Linked DNA regions of Mus musculus. The protein of the gene in region 1 purifies or fractionates together with the protein of each later gene. This does not show direct contact. Links are inferred from orthologs where the notes say so. Each region holds a gene or a part of one and is shown on either strand. Other genes may lie near its edges.

What was found. Proteins that work in one complex are often made in the same cells at the same time.
Region 2: the proteins of Xpo1 (region 1) and Nxf1 purify together in Homo sapiens (affinity purification with mass spectrometry; 3 studies listed by BioGRID and IntAct, with this or other methods). This does not show direct contact. The link is inferred for Mus musculus from reciprocal best matches to the Homo sapiens genes XPO1 and NXF1.
Region 3: the proteins of Xpo1 (region 1) and Nup62 purify together in Homo sapiens (affinity purification with western blotting; 4 studies listed by BioGRID and IntAct, with this or other methods). This does not show direct contact. The link is inferred for Mus musculus from reciprocal best matches to the Homo sapiens genes XPO1 and NUP62.
Region 4: the proteins of Xpo1 (region 1) and Nmd3 purify together in Homo sapiens (affinity purification with western blotting; 3 studies listed by BioGRID and IntAct, with this or other methods). This does not show direct contact. The link is inferred for Mus musculus from reciprocal best matches to the Homo sapiens genes XPO1 and NMD3.

What each region holds. Positions count from the first base shown.
Region 1 is NC_000077.6:23,286,115-23,291,746, reverse strand, and holds part of Xpo1 (exportin-1), read right to left. Parts: intron 5,003-5,632; coding exon 4,819-5,002; intron 4,403-4,818; coding exon 4,296-4,402; intron 1,990-4,295; coding exon 1,795-1,989; intron 285-1,794; coding exon 116-284; intron 1-115. UniProt on the Homo sapiens protein: Mediates the nuclear export of cellular proteins (cargos) bearing a leucine-rich nuclear export signal (NES) and of RNAs.
Region 2 is NC_000085.6:8,755,632-8,759,902, reverse strand, and holds the start of Nxf1 (nuclear RNA export factor 1), read right to left. Parts: upstream 2,801-4,271; 5' UTR 2,672-2,800; coding exon 2,644-2,671; intron 1-2,643.
Region 3 is NC_000073.6:44,814,896-44,818,887, reverse strand, and holds the start of Nup62 (nuclear pore glycoprotein p62), read right to left. Parts: upstream 2,801-3,992; 5' UTR 2,405-2,800; exon of another isoform or gene 2,230-2,404; intron 1-2,229. Other genes in the region: Atf5 (cyclic AMP-dependent transcription factor ATF-5), read left to right, coding at 3,722-3,899. UniProt on the Homo sapiens protein: Essential component of the nuclear pore complex. The N-terminal is probably involved in nucleocytoplasmic transport.
Region 4 is NC_000069.6:69,720,700-69,724,854, reverse strand, and holds the start of Nmd3 (60S ribosomal export protein NMD3), read right to left. Parts: upstream 2,801-4,155; 5' UTR 2,733-2,800; intron 2,447-2,732; 5' UTR 2,433-2,446; coding exon 2,389-2,432; intron 599-2,388; coding exon 464-598; intron 1-463. UniProt on the Homo sapiens protein: Acts as an adapter for the XPO1/CRM1-mediated export of the 60S ribosomal subunit.

The DNA of each region.
Region 1 (5,632 bases):
GTATTTTAGAAATCCCTGAAAACTAGATGCTCATGCCTCCTCCCCCCCAAAATTAAACAGTTACTGAGACTTAAGTGTCTATTTCTGCTTTATCAAATAACTTAAATGTATTTACCTGTATCTGCAACATTCCTCATAGTATGTTTAAAAGCCCAAATAATAGAATCCAAAACCAGCTTGAACTGTGCAGGTGGAATAGCTAGGAATGCTGGGAAACAGTGAGAATTGACAGCTTGAAGTAATAAGAAAAAGTTTGTTCTGTGTTCTGGATACTCTTCAAAATCCTAAAATAAGAAAGAACACTGAAACATTTCAATGCCTTAAAAGAGGAAAAGTTTCTATTTGCATCTACCTTCAAAGTTTCCCCCAAAGGAAAGCCCAAATTTTAGGATTTGTTATCATTTCTTGTTATCATTGGTTTTCAAAGGCAGGATTTCTCTGGATAGCCATGGCTGTCCTGTCACTATGCTTTGTAGACCCAACTGGTTTAGAACTCAAGAGAAATCCACCACCTCCAGGCTAGAATTTATATTTTAAAGATTTAAGTACCATGCTCTGGAAATATTCACAAATCAGCAAACACAGCCATGCTTGTCATGAAACACCTACTCTCAGAAAGCCTGCTGAAGTCTGAGGCCAGTTTATGGTTGGCAAGAAAATGCTCTTGTCTCAAATCTACTCACCAAAGGTCTGGGTGTGTGTTTACATCACAACCCATCTGGAAAACTTTTTTTTAAAAAAGATTTATGTGCCTAGCAGTGGTGGCACACGCCTTTAATTCCAGTACTTGGGAGGCAGAGACAGGCTGATTTCTGAGTGCAAGGGCAGCCTAGTCTACAGAGTGAGTTCCAGGACAGCCTGAGCTATACAGAGAAACCCTGTCTCAAAAAAACAAACAGAGGATTTATGTATTTCATTTATGTGAGTACTCTGAGCATCAGACCCCAATACAGATGGTTATGAGCCACCATGCTCAGAACTGAACTGAGATCAGCCCAGGAGGAACTTTTAAATGCTACCACCCAATTTTATCCTGCTACATATTGAAACCAAAAAAACAAAAACAAAAACAGTAGACTATCTGCTATCCCCTAAATTTTAAAAGTTATCCCATACCGAGGTTCAGTCCAGATTTAATCCCCACCCCTTTCTTTTGTTGACCAAGCTGTTATATGTGTATGTCATATATAGACCAGAAACCTAGCTGTGTTTGCTAGTTTGTGATTATTTCTTTTTCGTTTTTTTTTTGAGACAGGGTTTGTCTTTATAGCCCTGGCTGTCCTGGAACTCACTTTGTAGACCAGGCTGCCTTGAACTCAGAAATCCGCCTACCTCTGCCTAGCGAGTGCTGGGATTAAAGGCGTATGCCACCACGCCAGGCTGATTAGTTCAATTTTTAAAATACAAATTCTAGCCTGGAAATTTGTAGAGCACACCCTTAATCCCAGAGGCAGGCAGATCTGAGTTCTAATCCAGCTGGATCTACAGCGTGAGTTCCAGGCCAGACATGGCTACCCAGAAATTAGAGATCATAGTTCTATGCATGCACCTCTGCCCTTTGAGCAGTCTTAGGTCTAAGTGTGTCCGTGACCAGTCTTTTTGTCCTTTTTTTCTTTTTTGGGGTGGTGGTGGTGTCAAGATTCTGTTAAGATGACAATTACTATAAATTACTATAAATATAATACTTAATTCTAGGACTTCGAAACTCTAAAAAATAATTGTCATTTATATATTTAGGAGTGAAGAACATACTACAGAATCTTCCATTATATAATAAAAACACAGATCACCTACCTTATTTATCATATTCAATGTGCACTCAAAAACTGCATCGAATATTTGAGGTATTTCAGCTGTTATATGTCCACCTAATTTGTTGACAATAATGGCCATAGTACTAAGCACTTCTGGTTCTCTAGCAGCTGGTACATTTCTCTGGTAATCAATAAGAACTGCATCCAACAAAGGAGGAACAAAGTTTTCAGCTACCTGTTTGGGGGGTAAAGTAATATAGGTCACTCCAGTCTCTAAGATAATTCAGATTATCTGATGAGATATGATGCTAAAATATTTTAGCAACAGGAACCGGTAAGGTCAACATTAACAATGGCCATAGATACTAGTTAGTTTAAAATGTATCTGTGAGTCTCATTACATAACAAGGTTGGACTCAAACTCATGGCATTCATCCTGCTACAATTCCCAGGGCTATGATGACAGGTGTGTACCAAAATACCACCTTCATACATATTCAGTAGTTAAGAGTCCTAAATTGAGATCTTCCCATCTTCTGAGTTGGCCATCATTGGGAAAAGAGGTCCCTTGGTATTGTAAACTTTATCTGCCTCAGTACAGGGGAACGCCAGGGCCAAGAAGTGGGAGTGGGTGGATAGGGGAGTGGGTGGGGGAGAGGGTCTGGGGGACTTTTGGGATAGCATTTGAAATGTATATAAAGAAAATATCTAAATAAAGAAATAAGTCCTGAATTGGCTATATCCAAAATACTATAAGACCAGACTTCAATTAACAGTGGGATAAATAAATCCAAGAAGACTTCAGTATTCTGTGGCCACTGCTGTGAAGAAGCTGATTCAGGAAGAAAGCTGGATACAGTGAGTGGTTCTCTGTACCTACACAATCTAAACATACATGAATACGTTAAAAAAAAAAAAAAGAAGAAGAAGAATTTTATCAGAGTTCGAGCTGAAGATAAAAAGTAATAGCTCGGGCTGGTGAGATGGCTCAGCGGTTAAGAGCACTGACTGCTCTTCCAGAGGGCCTGAGTTAAAATCCCAGCAACCACATGGTGGCTCACAACCATCTGTAATGGGACCTGATGCCCTCCTCTGGTGTGTCTGAAGACAGCTACAGTGTACTTACATATAACAATAAATAAATCTTTTAAAAAAAAAAGTGTTTATGGTAACTTCCCTAAGCACAAGCAGGCTCAAGAACTTCCTGCATTTTAAAGGTGCTCAAACTGTGAGCGACAGCAGTAGCTCTCCTGTGGTCGCCTATACATACTATTAGTGCAGTAACACACACTCCAGAACTGCAACCAGTCACTACCATTCACCTGCCTCATACTACATTGTCCTGCACTGATGTTTCACTTTGCCATTCTCAGCATAAAATCTTCAATGGGTTTTTTTGTTTTGTTTTGCTTTGTTTTGTTTTTTTTTTCAAGACAGGGTTTCTCTGTATAGCCCAGGCTGGCCTGGAACTCACTTTGTAGACCAGGCTGGCTTTGAACTCAGAAATCCAAGTGCTGGGATTAAAGGTGTGCGCCACCATGCCCAGCTTTCAATGGATTTTAAAACAACAACAAAATCCAAAAGACAAACAGCAAAAAACCTCACAGACTCTCTTTTGTGTAGCCCAGGCTATCCTAGATCTACCTGACCCTGCCTCCCAAATAAAAGTGTGTTCCATCACCACTAACTGTGTAACTCAGGTTGGCCTATAAAGGTGATTCTCCTGCTCTGCCTACACCATTAAGCAGATGCTGTTTTAAGACAATGAATAAATACTTTAGTCCTAGGTATCAGGCTTACATACACACACACGTGTAGGTCAGAGAGGTTCATCTATGGGAGTTGATCTCCTTCCACCATATGGGTCCCAGTGTTGGAATCCATTGAGATTTGGCAGAAAACTTCGTCATCCACTGAGCTGGCTACTGACTGCTCCAGATTCCATTTTACTCACAAACATTATAGCTATATCACACAGTAATAGTGAGTATAGGGCAGGATCCTATTTTTGTTGCTGATATGAGGATCAGGCATAGCAATCTGCTATAGTGCTCTTTATGTAGTTTTAAATCTGAAGTGGTGACTTTTTTTGTTTTACTTTGATCATCATCAAAGCTCAAGATTACTGATGAGGGCTGTTAAGATGATTCAAATCCTTAATTTGTAATCTTTTTTCCTCCTACCTCACAGCCACTGTAGTAGCTTCAGCTTATGAACTATATGGCCTGGATTTCCTAAGTGACCTAGATATAAAATATGAATTCTATTGACATCTTGTTTTTATCTTAACAACCCTTCAACCTACCTTTGGACATATCTATAGCCCCAAATAACCCATTCTTATTTATTATCATCATCTGTAGCAAACAAATTTCTTCAAAAGCTAAATCACTATCTTTTTTACTTTAAAAGGACTCCAACTAATACTAGCACTAAATAACCCTAAACACAGACATTTAACTATCTTTTAAAAGCAAATACATGTAGACAGGATATATTAGAGAATATGAAGTAAAAGAAAAACAAAAACAAGAATCTTACCATCTGAGGATCATTGGAACGGCTCACCCAACCAGATATTAACTTTAAAGTTTCCCTTTTTACTGTCCGCATACTTCTAATCAATGGTTGCTTTGTAACCATCTCACCTGAAGAACAATCAAATATAAGCTAACTGATAGTATGCAAAGTTAGGTCTACTGCAAATAATATAACTCCACTGACCATTTAAAAAGCTGTACCTTCAAAAGAATTTATTGGGGGAAAGGTTGAATGGAAGAGAGAATTCCAAAGTGCAAACCACCAAATAGCCAAGATCCAACACACAGCTTTGGGCATTTTGCAAAATAGTTACTCTGTTAATAAAACTATACTTGTAGGCAAGACTAATCTTAGTTAACTAGGCAAGACTAATCAACCAAGCAATTGTTGAGAAAGGGTCTTGGACCTTTTGACCCCAGACAGCAGGTTTACTTAAATGTGAGAAGAGCAGAAAGGGTAAGACAGTGAAAGCAGAAACCCTTTATCCAGCATTCTACCTCCCCAAGAAGCAAGAATCACTTACCATTAGCTTGAATAGCTGCAGAAATATTTTCACTGAGGCACTTATATACATTAAGCATGTCTAAATAAATTCTGCCAAGCTGAATTACAAAGGGATGACCAACAGCTTTGCAGGCTCTCACATTTGTTTTTAATATGCTACCCAGCTGCTTGACTGTTTCAGGATCTTTCAGGATATCCACATTCTGAAATTATCACAATAAAGCACAACCTCATTTATTGAAAACTTCATCTTATTTGAAATCTCAAAAGACAACACAAGGCCTGGGTTATAGCTCAGTCCTAAGATATTTTACAAACAGGCGGTGCCAAGCTTAATCATACCTAAAGCTCAAGTACTTAAAAACCTAAAGAGTGAAGTGAAAACAGTCTCACCTAAGTAAGATCAAACAGAATGTGTGTGTCTTGGCAGCACATCTCTCCAGGTCCCCTAGGAGCCCACAGTAAACTGTCTCAACTATCATGATCCCACACAAAACAAAATCCTGTCACCTTTTCTGTCTTTCTCTTATGTTGATCAGAGTGCTCTGGGTCTCAGCGGATTTCCAACTTGTTATGTTGCCAAGGATGGCTTTTAACTTTTACTCCTGGCCTCTATTTCTAAGTGTTAGGATTATGCTTATGCACTACCACATCTGACTTCTATAATGTTTCAATTGTTCAAACTCACATGAAAGCACTTATACAGTAAGGAATATAGCTGAGTGGGTTAAGGCCTTCACATAAACCTGAGGTCTGAAGCTCAGATCCCCAGGAGCGACCGTAAAGATAGGCTTAGCATAATGTGTCACAGGCTAAACACTCAAGAGGTAGGT
Region 2 (4,271 bases), on another chromosome or scaffold:
AAAAATAAAAAAGAGTAATGAAAGGTGAATACAATTACAACTGTGTACATGTATAAAATTACCCCCCCCCAAAAAAAACCTTAGAATTTAAAGAAAAAAGAAAACCAAAACCACCCAGAAACCAGATCCTACAAAGAAAACTAAAATGTGGAAGTATGGGCAACCCCAAAATATAACCAGATTCCTGAAAACCACCTAAAATCTGCCACTTGCATATTCTTTTGCTTATGTGTACAGTTGATGGTCACAGAACCAGATGTTATGGCCACCACCTGCAATCCTGGCAATTGGGAAATGGAGGCTTCAATTACACAAGAAATCAAAGCTATGCTGGGCTACATGAGATTCTATCCCAAAAAATAAAAAAATTCTTACAAATAGGACGTATTTAAAGTCTCCTAAAAACAACTACCGCCGGGCAGTGGTGGCGCACTCCTTTAATCCCAGCACTCGGGAGGCAGAGGCAGGCGGATTTCTGAGTTCGAGGCCAGCCTGGTCTACAGAGTGAGTTCCAGGACAGCCAGAGCTACACAGAGAAACTCTGTCTCGAAAAACAAAACAAAACAAAACAAAACCCAAAAAACAACTACCATCTCCTGCACTCGGAACTTGGGAAATGCTAGTTTCTTTGAGCAAAAATAGCCTGCACCTCGAGGGACTTATTGATTCAGGGACTGGTGCAGGTTCCACAGTAAGGAGGTAGGGAATGTTCTCCAATATAACCATTGTTTGAAGCAGGAGGATTCCGAGTTCCAGATAAGCTAAAACCCTGCCTTAAAAAGGGGAAGAAGCCAAACACAGTGGCCCATATCTTTATTCCCAGACAGTGGCAGGCAGAGAACTGTTGAGTTTTGAATGCCAGCATGGTCTACTCATTGAGTTCTAGAACAGAGAGAACTACTCATTGACACACTGTTTCAATAAATAAATTAATAAACAAACAAGCCAACCAAGTGTGGTAGTACACTGTTTAAGAAGAGGATTGGAACTACAGAGTTCAAGGCCAGACCAGGATTGAGACCTGTCTCTCTTAGTGGGTGGTCTGCATATATGTAGACAAAACAAATAAAAGGAGGGCTGAGGATATAGCCCAGTTGACAATGTGCTTGCCTATCCTATCCTTCACACACACACACACACCACCCAGGCTGAGGCAGAATTTGAAACTTCAAGTCAGTCTGGACAACTTGGTGAACCATCTCAAAAAAATAACAGCCGGGCCTGGTGGCGCATGCCTTTAATCCCAGCACTTGGGAGGCAGAGGCAGGCGGATTTCCGAGTTCAAGGCCAGCCTGGTCTACAAAGTGAGTTCCAGGACAGCCAGGGCTACACAGAGAAACCCTGTCTCGAAAAAACAAGGGATTTTCATCCTTCCTTGTCTATAGCTCTGTGGGAGAACAGAAGGCCTGGCACACAGGGAATGACCTGGAACCTCTGATCCTCTTACCTTAAACAGTGCACTACTACACTTGGTTCTATTTATTTTCCTTTTTGCCAGACCTTGAGTTTAACTCTAGGAGCCCAACCCCCCCAAAAAAAAGTAAAAGTCTATGCAATACCGAACTTGGGAAGCTGACACAGGGAGACTGACTGAGGCCAGCCTGGGATACTAGGGCTGACCCTGTAAGGGAGAATTAGCCTTCCCTAGGGATGAATTCCCTAAATGGTTATCCAATCCCAAATGGTAAGCTTTAGAAACAAATATATACACATTAACACTAAATGGGCTCTGCATGTTGGATGAATTTGGGGAGAGAGTTGACAATGGGAATGGCTAGAGAAAGGAGACCAAGTAATTATATTTGAATTAAAATAAAGGTTCATTGGGTAGCTATTTTTCAGGCCTGGATAAATCATCAGTATTACACAAATACAAAAAAGGTATAACTTTCAAAGAAATCCACCTAATATCTAGCATCCTCTAAACAACGATCCTCTCCAAGCAACCCTAGTAAAAAGGAATACATTAAGAGACAGTGAAACTACGGTTCACGGAAGAAAATTCCCACTCCAGTTACTGTGTTCTAGGCACTTGGTAGAAATTATTTCATACGCACACAAACGCACACGCACATGCACACAAACTTGGGAGACAGGTACCCACATGAAAGAGGCGGAAAACAAGGCCTGAAAGTTTAACTCACTCGGGTTTAGTACAGCCAACTCCAGATTCAAACCTCAGCTGTCATAGTGTCCTAACCACCACAATGAATTAACATGTCAGGATAGGTGTTCCGACTAGAAATTTGATAAACAATAAGCAGCAAGCTACAAGAACAGACTGATCGTATCACAAAAAGAAAAAGAAAAATAGGGCACCAGGGTAGCCCACGACCAAGCGACTACTGACTCACATTTAAAGGAAGAGTCGGGCCGCCAAACTGAACTGACAGGCATCAACCACCCTCAAAGTTGAAAGGAATCTTGTCACCCCACCCCTGAGCCACAGGTTCTCCAACGCCTGAATCCGGGCGACTCTGGAGCCCCTGGGTCCCGCGGCGCCCCGCGCCCCCTGCCCGCGCGGCCACCGCTACCTACGGACGTAGGGCTCCTCGCGGCCTCCCGCCCCCGGGCTGAGGCCTAGGCCAGGGCCGCCCACCCCAACCCACCGCGTCGCCTCCCGGCCCGAGGCCCCGCACTGACCGTTGTATGACTTCCCTTCGTCCGCCATGGCACAGGCAGGTACAGGGGCGGGCTCAGGCGCAGAACCTGACGCCACCAAACGCCAAGGAGCCTTAGCGCTCAGGACAGAATCTCTCCTACGACCGGCGCCACCGCATTTATCCGGCGAAGCACGTCGCGCGCCGCCGACGTCCCCAGGATGTGGGCGGTGCCGCGGGACGTGAACGCGCTCTCTGAGCCTGCGCAGAAGCAGGGCGGCCGCTCGGGGGCGTGGCCAGGCCCTCCGAGGCCCGCCCACGGCCGGAGCTCCGGCCGGATGGCCTATCGGCCGGCCCCGCCTTCCTATTTCTTCGCTGGCCCGGTCCCGGAGCTAAACCCTCTGCGTTAGCACTGAACTCAAGAGGAGCAGGGTCGAGGGCTACACACAAGAATGGAGACCTGGCCTCTGAACGGGAGTAACGGCCCACAGTCCCCGCCGGTGGGATCCCGGCAGCGAGTAAGTCGCAGCTCAGTTCCTTGCCAGCCGCTGGCCTATGCCCTCTTAGCTTTTCTCATCTCCACGACGAATTATGACGAAATAGAAAATTGGAATGTAAGCCCCACTGGAGCAGGAACCTTAACTAATGCGAACTTTTCTTCCTCCAGCACAGTATCATGCCCAGTGTGAAACCCAAGTGTGAATTAAACGAAATCCTGTCCTTCGTAGGTTTTTAAATTGACTAATGAAAAAAGGTCTTTTAAATTGACTAATGAAAAAAAAAGTCAAGTCGGGTGTAGTGGAGCAGGTCTTTAAACCCAGCATTTGGAAGGCAGAGGCAGGCAGATCTTTGAGTTTGAGGCCAGTCTTGGCTCTATAGAAATTTCTAGAACAGCCAGAGCTATGTAGAGACCCTTCCTCCAAAAAAAATAAAATAATAAAATAAAATAAAAAAGCTTTAGTCTTACTATCAATACTTTGTCCAGTTCAGAGATAGGGAACACTACATAGACCATCTCAAAACAAAATCAGGGATCTAGTGAGCCTTAAGCCTTGATCTTCACTTCACTCAGTCTGTCATACTGAAGCCTAATTGGTAGACCCAGGTCAGCTAGGTAGGTAGCTAGGGAAAGTTGCTAGTTTTGGGTTTTGTTTCTTGAAACAGGGTTTCTGTGAAACTTGCTTTGTAGACCAAGTTGGCCACAAACTCAAGAAATTCACCTGCTTCCAACTCCCAAGTGTTGACTGAAACTTTAATGTCAAACCCAAGAGCTCTAGGAAACTTTTCTGGTGTGGCTAGGACTATTGCAGCCTTGGATCCAGATGCTGCTGTGGGAGGGGGAAGCAGATGGGGTGCTGGTAGGCATGGAGCATGACTTGATTTGAAGATACAAAACAGGCTCAAACTTATGGGTACTGTCTTGGAAGTTGCCGCCCAATTATGAACCCACTTAGTCCAAAGGAAAACTCTTATGAAGTGCTGCTGTACTTGGCTACTCGCTTCTAGGGGGGAGTTGTGTGTACAGAGCTCCGGAGCTACCCTGCCTATCAGTAGGGGCCCATCAGAGTCACTGACTTAACCCTTTTGGTTCTGGTATTGGGCAGTGGTTAGCTTTTTGCTGAAGTCCCCCCCCCCCCCCCAGAAATGACATCAACACTAGTGAGGCTGACA
Region 3 (3,992 bases), on another chromosome or scaffold:
CTCAGGGTGGCAGGCCTCCAGGGATGATCACAACTCCCATAAAGTGACGGCTGTGCACATGCTGGGGAGGGCATGGCAGCTAAATGTGAAAACCAGCTCTTGAGTTAAGGTGGATCTGAGGGCGGGGGAAGCATCTGGGTAGGACCTCAGGAAAGAAAAAAGAAGTACCATGGGGAAGACTATGGGCTGGTACCCCCACTCTGCACTGTCTTTGAAACCTTTCGATTATTCCAAAAGTTTACTTTAAAATACCAAACTCAAGGAAAGGAGCACCACCGGCACAGCAACATGGCACAATGTTTCAAATAAAAACCAGCACCTGTGGGGCCCAGGGATGCAGCTCAGGTGGTAGAATGTCCATTTAGCATGCAGTTCATGAAGCTCTGGGTCCATCCCATTTCTGTATTCGTAGCAGACTCCACATGGACTTAACAAAGCCCATAGCTGGCAAGGGAGGGCTGGAGTCTAAACACATCAAATCACGCCTGTGCTCAAACACTGGCAGAAGATAAGAATTCACACTCTGATGGCTCAGTGTTACAGAGCACTGACTGCTTTTCCAGAGCAACCACATGGTGGCTCACAACCATCTGCAATGGAATCTGATGCCCTCTTCTGGTGTGTCTGAAGAGAACCTGTGTACTTACATAAATAAAATCTAAAAAAAAAAAAAGAGTGCCCATTCCAAGGGGAATTATCTCAAGGACTTGTAACTTTCAAAATCAGTATTCCCCACCTGCTCTGAATCTTTTACAGTACCAGGGATGGACACCAGAGTCTGGAAAGCAGTATTCTGGCCAACACTCTGCCACCAACCTCCAACCCCAGCCCATTACATATTTTTTTAAAATCAGGATCTTTGTTAAGTTCTCTAGACAGCCAAGAACTCACTTTCTAGTCAAGGCAAGCCTTGAGCTTTTTTCCTCCCCTTACTCAGTATGTAGACCTGTCACTACAGGTGGTGGAGGTCAGAGGACAACCGTCTAGAGTTGCTTTTGTCCTTCTACCAAGTGGGTCCTGAGGATGGAACTCAGGAGGGTTGAGTTTAGAGATCACCACCAGAGCCATCTCAAAGCAGCTCCAGCCCTGACCTTGACTTTCAATACTCCTGTCTTAGCCTCCTAAGTAGGTGAGATATCAAGCCTGGCCTCTGGACTTTTTCTTTTTAAAACACATTGAGGCCAGTCAGTATGACCCTGAACTCATGATTTCTTTTCTCCCATCTCCCAAATCCTGAGAATACAGGCAAGTCAAGCCCAATCCATGTGGTGCTTGGACAGAGACTAAGGTTCTGGTGTTAAAAACAGACGAGCATTCTTGAGCTCTATCTCCAACCATTCAGTCTCTCAGCTGCTACAAATATGACACACTGACTGACTTTCACATGGAATGCCAGCCATGTACATGAACATGGGGTAGAAAACAGGGTTCACGCATCATCCCCGGTGAAGGACAAGAGGGACTCTTTTACTAAATGGAATATAAATGTCCTATTTTGGACAGGATCAAGAAATAATTATCTAGTGGGGTCAGCAAGAGAGCAAGGACTGCAAGAAAGTCAGAGCAAGGGCAAAACCTTAGAGGTCGGCAGGGATGGCTGGAAACAGAAACCTTGGAGGTGGGACACACAGAACGATCATATGGCTAAGAATCTGGGGTAGGGAGAGTAAAAGAGGTGAAGTCAGGGTTTTTTTCTAAAAGAAAATACAATGACTGAGCAGTGGGTAAAGGCTGCCAAATAGTTTGACCCGAGTTCCGTCCCTGGGACTCACATGGTCAGAGAACCAACTCCTGCTAGCTCTCCTCTGACCACCACAATAAATGTTAAAACAAAACAAACAAAAATATGTTGAAGAGTCTCGTGGTTAGGACTTCGTGGCCTACTTTCCATAGCTGATATATCTGTGCGCGTATACAGCGCTCTACAAGTACTTGGGAAGCGTTATCTCGCGGTTGCTGCCTGGAACTCCTCTATGAAGCCTAAGCTAGCTTGCGCCATTCGGCGATGGGCTTAACCCACGAGGTCTCGGGTGGCAAATTCGTGAAGCAGGGAGAGAGAACGAGACGAGCTGGTTTCGGGTGTGAAAGACACATCGGATCTGACCGATTCAGGAGACCGAGCCCGGGCCCCCAGCCTGAAGCAGAGAGTGGAGGGTCAGGGCGACATGGCGGGCCCGGGGTCGCCACCGCCCCGTCGGGGCCGCGCGAGGGCGGGGCGCGGAGGGATCCAGGCAAGCCCGCGCTGCGCCGCCCCCGGTATATTTGTCCCCAGGCCCCGGGGCCGCCTCATTTTCAACCCTCTCAGCACAGTCTCCCTTAACGCTCCCGCCACGCCGCCTCCGCCCGCGCAATGGCTCTGTAGCCGCGACCCCGTCGTGTCCCCCGCCCCCGTCTCCGCGCTCACCGCGCCTTCACTCTCCGCTCACACCGTCTCTTCAGCCGAGGCCGCCGCCGCCGTTGCCTCCTCGCCTTTTCGCCGCCATGGAGTGAGTAACCGCTCGCCCCTCCCTCGCCAACTGCCTTTCCCGCCCTTTCAGAGCTCGCGGGGCTTCACGGGTCAGCCTCGTGGTGGGGGCGGGGGAGACGAAGTGAGGAACCACGGTCGCGCAGGCGCAGAAGAGGGAAGCTGGCGGCCGGCGCATCCGCTGAGCAAGCGCACTAGGCTCGAGTTGCGAGGGGCGGGGAGGAGGAGGGCGTGCTTCCGGAGAATTTGGGGGCTTTTAAGGTCGGCTCGCGCGCCGTTGCGCCTGCGCGCTAATTCACAGACCCTCTGCCCCTTTTCCTCCAAGGAGACAACCCCACAACCTGTTGCGCATGCGCATTGTCTTATTCCCCCACCCCCCCACCCCTCCACCCCCGGCCTGAACTACGGCGGGCGGCCGGTCATTGGCTAAACACGCGCACTGGTCCCCCAGGAGGGTAGTGGCGTAACAATGGATCGGGTCCTGGGACTGAGCTTGCGCCTCGTCGCTAGTCGAGCCAGCAGCGAGGAAGGGTGGGGTTTTGCTTGAGGCTCCGACTCAGGCCCAACTTCCCTCCAATCAGACACCTGCTGGGGCGGGGACTGGCTTAAACTGACAGGAAAGGCTTTAGGAACACCTTTAAGAAAGAGTTAGCACTAGCACTACAGGGGCGGGGCCTCTAGGGACTTGCTAGTGGGGGACGGGAACTGACTGTGACAGACAGAAGGGTGGGCGGAGCTTCCCGTAGAATCTTTAGAAGTCACCAAAATTTTTAAGGGAAGAGCGGGATCTGTGTGTGTGACACTGATGAAGGGCCCAGGCATGCAGAATTATTCTGGGAACCCCTGTGGATTAAAGGGGGTATAGTCTAATGATGCGGAAGGGGCACGGCTAGAAGGAAATTCCCTTGGGATTGAAATTTTTATGAAGAGGAATAAGATGAGGTGGGTAGGAGGGACTAGAGGTAATTCCCCTGGGAAAACACTAGGTTTCTGTGTTGAGGGAGGAGATGGGGCAGGGGAGTTTCCAATAATGTCCCTGGGAATGTGTGGAGCGCTGAAATTTTCGGAAAGAAGGAAACTGTGTAGCCTGTGGGTCAAGCCGCTTTGACTCAATCCCACCCACGTCCCCTTGTCCTCACAGGTCCTCCACCTTCGCCTTGGTGCCTGTCTTCACCCAGCTGAACAATCTTCCACGCTGCCTCCCAATTGTTGGTGCAGCCTCCATTGCCGTCGCTGCCCTGTGCCTGTGTCACAGCCATGTCACTCCTGGCGACCCTGGGACTGGAGCTGGACAGGGCCCTGCTCCCAGCTAGCGGGCTGGGCTGGCTCGTAGACTATGGGAAACTCCCCCTGGCCCCTGCCCCCCTGGGCCCCTATGAGGTCCTTGGGGGTGCCCTGGAGGGCGGGCTTCCAGGGGGGGGAGAGCCCCTGGCAGGTAAGAACAGGTTAAGAAGAGAGGTGGGTTGAGCTGGGGGTGGGGGTGGACAGAAAAGGAAGAATTTATTCCTTCACAAGATCAGTACTGAGG
Region 4 (4,155 bases), on another chromosome or scaffold:
GAAATACATTTTGAATTCTTACAGAGGTCCACAGACAATTTCCACATACACAAAGCAAATGCTAAACCTATCTGGGAAGTCACAGGCATATAATTTTTATATTCACTGACAAGGTTTAAGTCTCTCACTAGACATATGGATAGATGTAAACAGATGTAGCCAACAACTAAAGGAACGAAACTGAAGAAAGAATGCATCAGCTCTCAGAAGGCGTCTTCTACTGTCAGATTCAGTATCTCACTTTTATACAAATATTTTTTCTATCCTTACCAGATTAGTAGGACAGTAGAAAGCACAGCATAAAACTGCAAATTATTATATCCTTGGTAACATCAACTAGGTAAAAATTAACACTCAACAGCACGTTTCATTCCGTATACTTCAGAGTAATCTCAGCATAACACAGTGGCTCTCTGTATGAAGACCAACTTAAGGAAGCTAAACAAGTAGTAATGTACTGTACCTCTGACACTGTTTGCAGAAAGAAATGGAGACCTGCTTTGGAACACCTTGGCTGATGTCAACTTTACTTCGTAAACAGGCCACACAAATATTGGCAGGATTTGGACTAATTGGGACACCACATTCACAGCACAAGCTTGAGAAAATAAAGCAGATTTTTTCCAATTAGATTTTATACATTTACTAGTCAAAAACAAAACAAAACAAACAAACAAAAAACCCCTACCAAGCCAAAGCCTTCAAGATTCTACTGTTTAAAGTGGGGGAGGAGACACTTAATGGGTCAAAGTGCTTCCAGCTCTTATAGCAAACTGGGGTCAATTTTCAGCACACAAGAGGCAGCTCACAACCATCTGTAACTCTAGTTCCAGGAGAGTCTACCACTCTTCTGATGTCCATGGCCTCTTACATGCACTTAGCACACACACATACACTCACGAATAAAATAAGTTGATTTGTTTTTAAAAGACAAGTGGGGTGTGGGGGGAAATCTTTTTCGTCTTAACAACCAGGAAGCAGGGCACACAGATCTGTGAGTCTCACGCCAGCCAGAGCTTCATGAGAGTCTGTCTCGAAGAGGGGAAAAAGGCAATCTTAAAGACAGAGTGAAGAAGAATCCTGAAACATCGGCAAAAATCAAAGGGCCATAATTCTGAAAATGCTTAAAGAGGGCACTGTGCGACTTTGTCATGCTAATGAACTTCATGCAATGATAGAAATGTCCTAGTCCCTCATCTCTTCTTTAAAATTGGAAAACTAAGAAAAAAAGAAATTAGCAATGCAAATAGTCTAACAACAATAGCAAACACTAATGTGCACATAAATTCAACAATATAAACAAAAGACAGCCAAGTGTGATGGTGCAGACCTTTACCCAGCACTTGCGAGGCAGAGGCAGAGGCAGACAGATCTCTCTATGAGTTCCTGGTAAGCAGGACTTAACATGGTAAGACTGTCTCAAAAGCAAAAATAAACAACAAAGAGAAACAAACAATATATGTAAGATCCGTTTCTCGTTTCTCTTGCATCTGACTCGGCTAGTGGGTGCCCCCTTTGTTCTGAGCATCTACAATGCGTAGATGCGAACAGGCCCCCTTTACAGGGACCCACAATGAACAGTAAAGGAAAATGTACGTATTCCATGAAAACAGAAAGGAGATTATTAAGGAAAGGAAAGGGACCTGTGAGGGGGTAGGAGGGTTAAGGAAGATCAATGGTAGGGTAAATATGAACGCTGTACAATGTTAAATATGCGGACCCTCCTATATACATGAAAATATAATGAAACCCTGTATTTTATGTTACAAAGTAATTTTTAAAAGGAGAAATAGACAAAAATACAGGACAAGAAGAGCACCTATGCCTACCGATGCTCTAAGCTACAGGAGTATAACTCTATAGTGTACTGGAGGCAGAAAAATTTTGTGAAGCAGGCCTGACATAATCGCAGCACTTGGGAGGCTAAGGCTGAAGGGACAAGGCTCTCAAGGTCAGCCGTGGCTACAGAGTGAATTCCAGGGCCAATCTAACAGGACTGGCTCCATCGAAAGTAAGATTTCAACGAAACAGCAGAAAAAGTCTGTGAACCTCCGCCACCGTGGCCCACGGCTGCCCAAAGAAAACTAAGATAATCTTCCAGTGGTGGCCACTAGCTGCACGTGAGCACCGCATACCATGTGGCTAGCACGACAGAGGAGCCGGGTGACAACCGTACACGTCCACTCGTGCCCCTCTAGGAGGACGTCTTCTCAAAGCACTCATTTTTTTCTACACCGGACTTAAAATGGGGTAGACTTCCTATGCGATCAAGACCCAACCGTTTTCTCCCACCGAGAAAAGGACCTCTCCTGCTAGCGTTAACCGTTTTCTCGGTATTTTACGATCTGCAGACGCCAAGGGATCGATCAGGGCGGGCTCGCAACTCACATGTGTCCCGGGCTGTGCTCAATGGACTCTGCCATGTACTCCATGGTTCGCGCGCGACCTATCAAGGGGAGGGAAGGACCGGTGAGACTTGGATCCATCAGGTCGAGTCTCCTGAGTTCGGGGACAGCCATGCGTGCGGCACACAAGCCCGGGGGTCGCGAGCCGCCGCCCAGCACGGCCCTTCCGCCCTCCTCCGCGCCGCGGCTCCGCATGCGGCCGGCCTCGGCCCCACACCCACGCCCCGGCGCCCGTGCGGGCCGCTCGCAGCCCGGGTACAGGGCCCGGCTCGCTCCCTCGTCTGGCCGCTGTTGGCGCAGGAGCCGGGTCTCCCACCCAGAACCTACCAGCAGCTCCGTGACAGGGCGAAATACACCCACAGCGGGCAACCCGCCGGCCAGGACGCACTACCGGCTACCTCAGCCGCGCTACACACCTACGAAGATCTCGCGATAGGAGAACCGGAAATCCCGCGTGCTGAAGGGTGCGGGAGAAGGGGACGGGTGGGCGGGGTCAAAGAATACACGTGTAGCAAGGGGCGGGGCCTATGGAGTGAGTGGGTGGGGATACGGGAGACCGGGCGAGCTGAGCAGGCTCGGGACAGTGATTACAACAGTTTGGTGTCTGTGATAGGCTCACCGTTCCACCCGCCCCCGTATCTTTAAAATGCACTTCTCAGCTCCTGGGGAGAGGGCTCAGCAGTTAAAAGCAGTTGTTCTTACAAAGGACCTGGGTTCAATTCCCAGCACTCACAGGGTGGGCTCACTGACGTCTAGAGTTCCATTTGGAGAGGATCTGCCGCCCTCTTAACTCTGAGGCCACCAACCACAAACTTGGTGCATATATATTCATGCGGGCCAAACACTCAAATACATAAAATACATGGATCTTTCTAAAGAAACATGGCCACTGTAAATATCACCATGGACAACTTAAGAGTATCGAATCGCTGTTTACTAAACAGTTGATGCAAAAAGAAAAAGAAAAGAAAGAAAAACTGAAAACTCTCTATTATATTGCAAACACTGTACTTTTAATAGTAAGCAGAAAATATAAAATGTTTTTCATTAAAGAAAAGTATTATTCTTAAAGAAATCATCTGAAACATATTTTTCTCAGAAGTGGATCCACAAAATAGATGAAAACAGGTAAATCCGCAACTGTAACCGAAACTGATGTCAAAAGGAAGACCCTAGCATTTCTAAGGTCCGAAGAGGTGTCAGACGCCCCGGAGCTGGAGTTACAGGTGGTTTGAAACTGCCCAACACAGAGGCTGAGAACCAAGCTCTTCTGGTCCTGGGAGAGAGTAGCAGATGTTCTTAACTGCTGAGCCACCACCTTTCCAGCTCCACACAATCATCTGTGTTTTATAAGACATTTATAATGAACATGGAAATGTAACTACAGTATAAACTTTAGTTACTTGTTTTTTAAAGATATGCCTAATTTCTACTAAAACAGACAAGGGTGTTTATGTTCTCCACTTTTAATAGAGTGTTGGAAGTTTTTAGCTAGGGCTGTAAGACAAGGGAAATAATAAAGGGAATACAAATAAGAAAGGGAGAAACCAAAATATTCTTATTTGCAGATGCTATGATTCTATACATGAGAGTCCTAAGAACTCCAATAGAAGCCTTAGCGTTGGAGGCTGGGGAGATGGCTGAGTCAGTAAGGTGCTTGCCATGCAGGCTCGAGGATCTGAGTTGGATACCCAGCACCTGCATAAAGAGGGGAAAGTGGTCTGAAGAGATGGCTCAGTAGTCCATACTA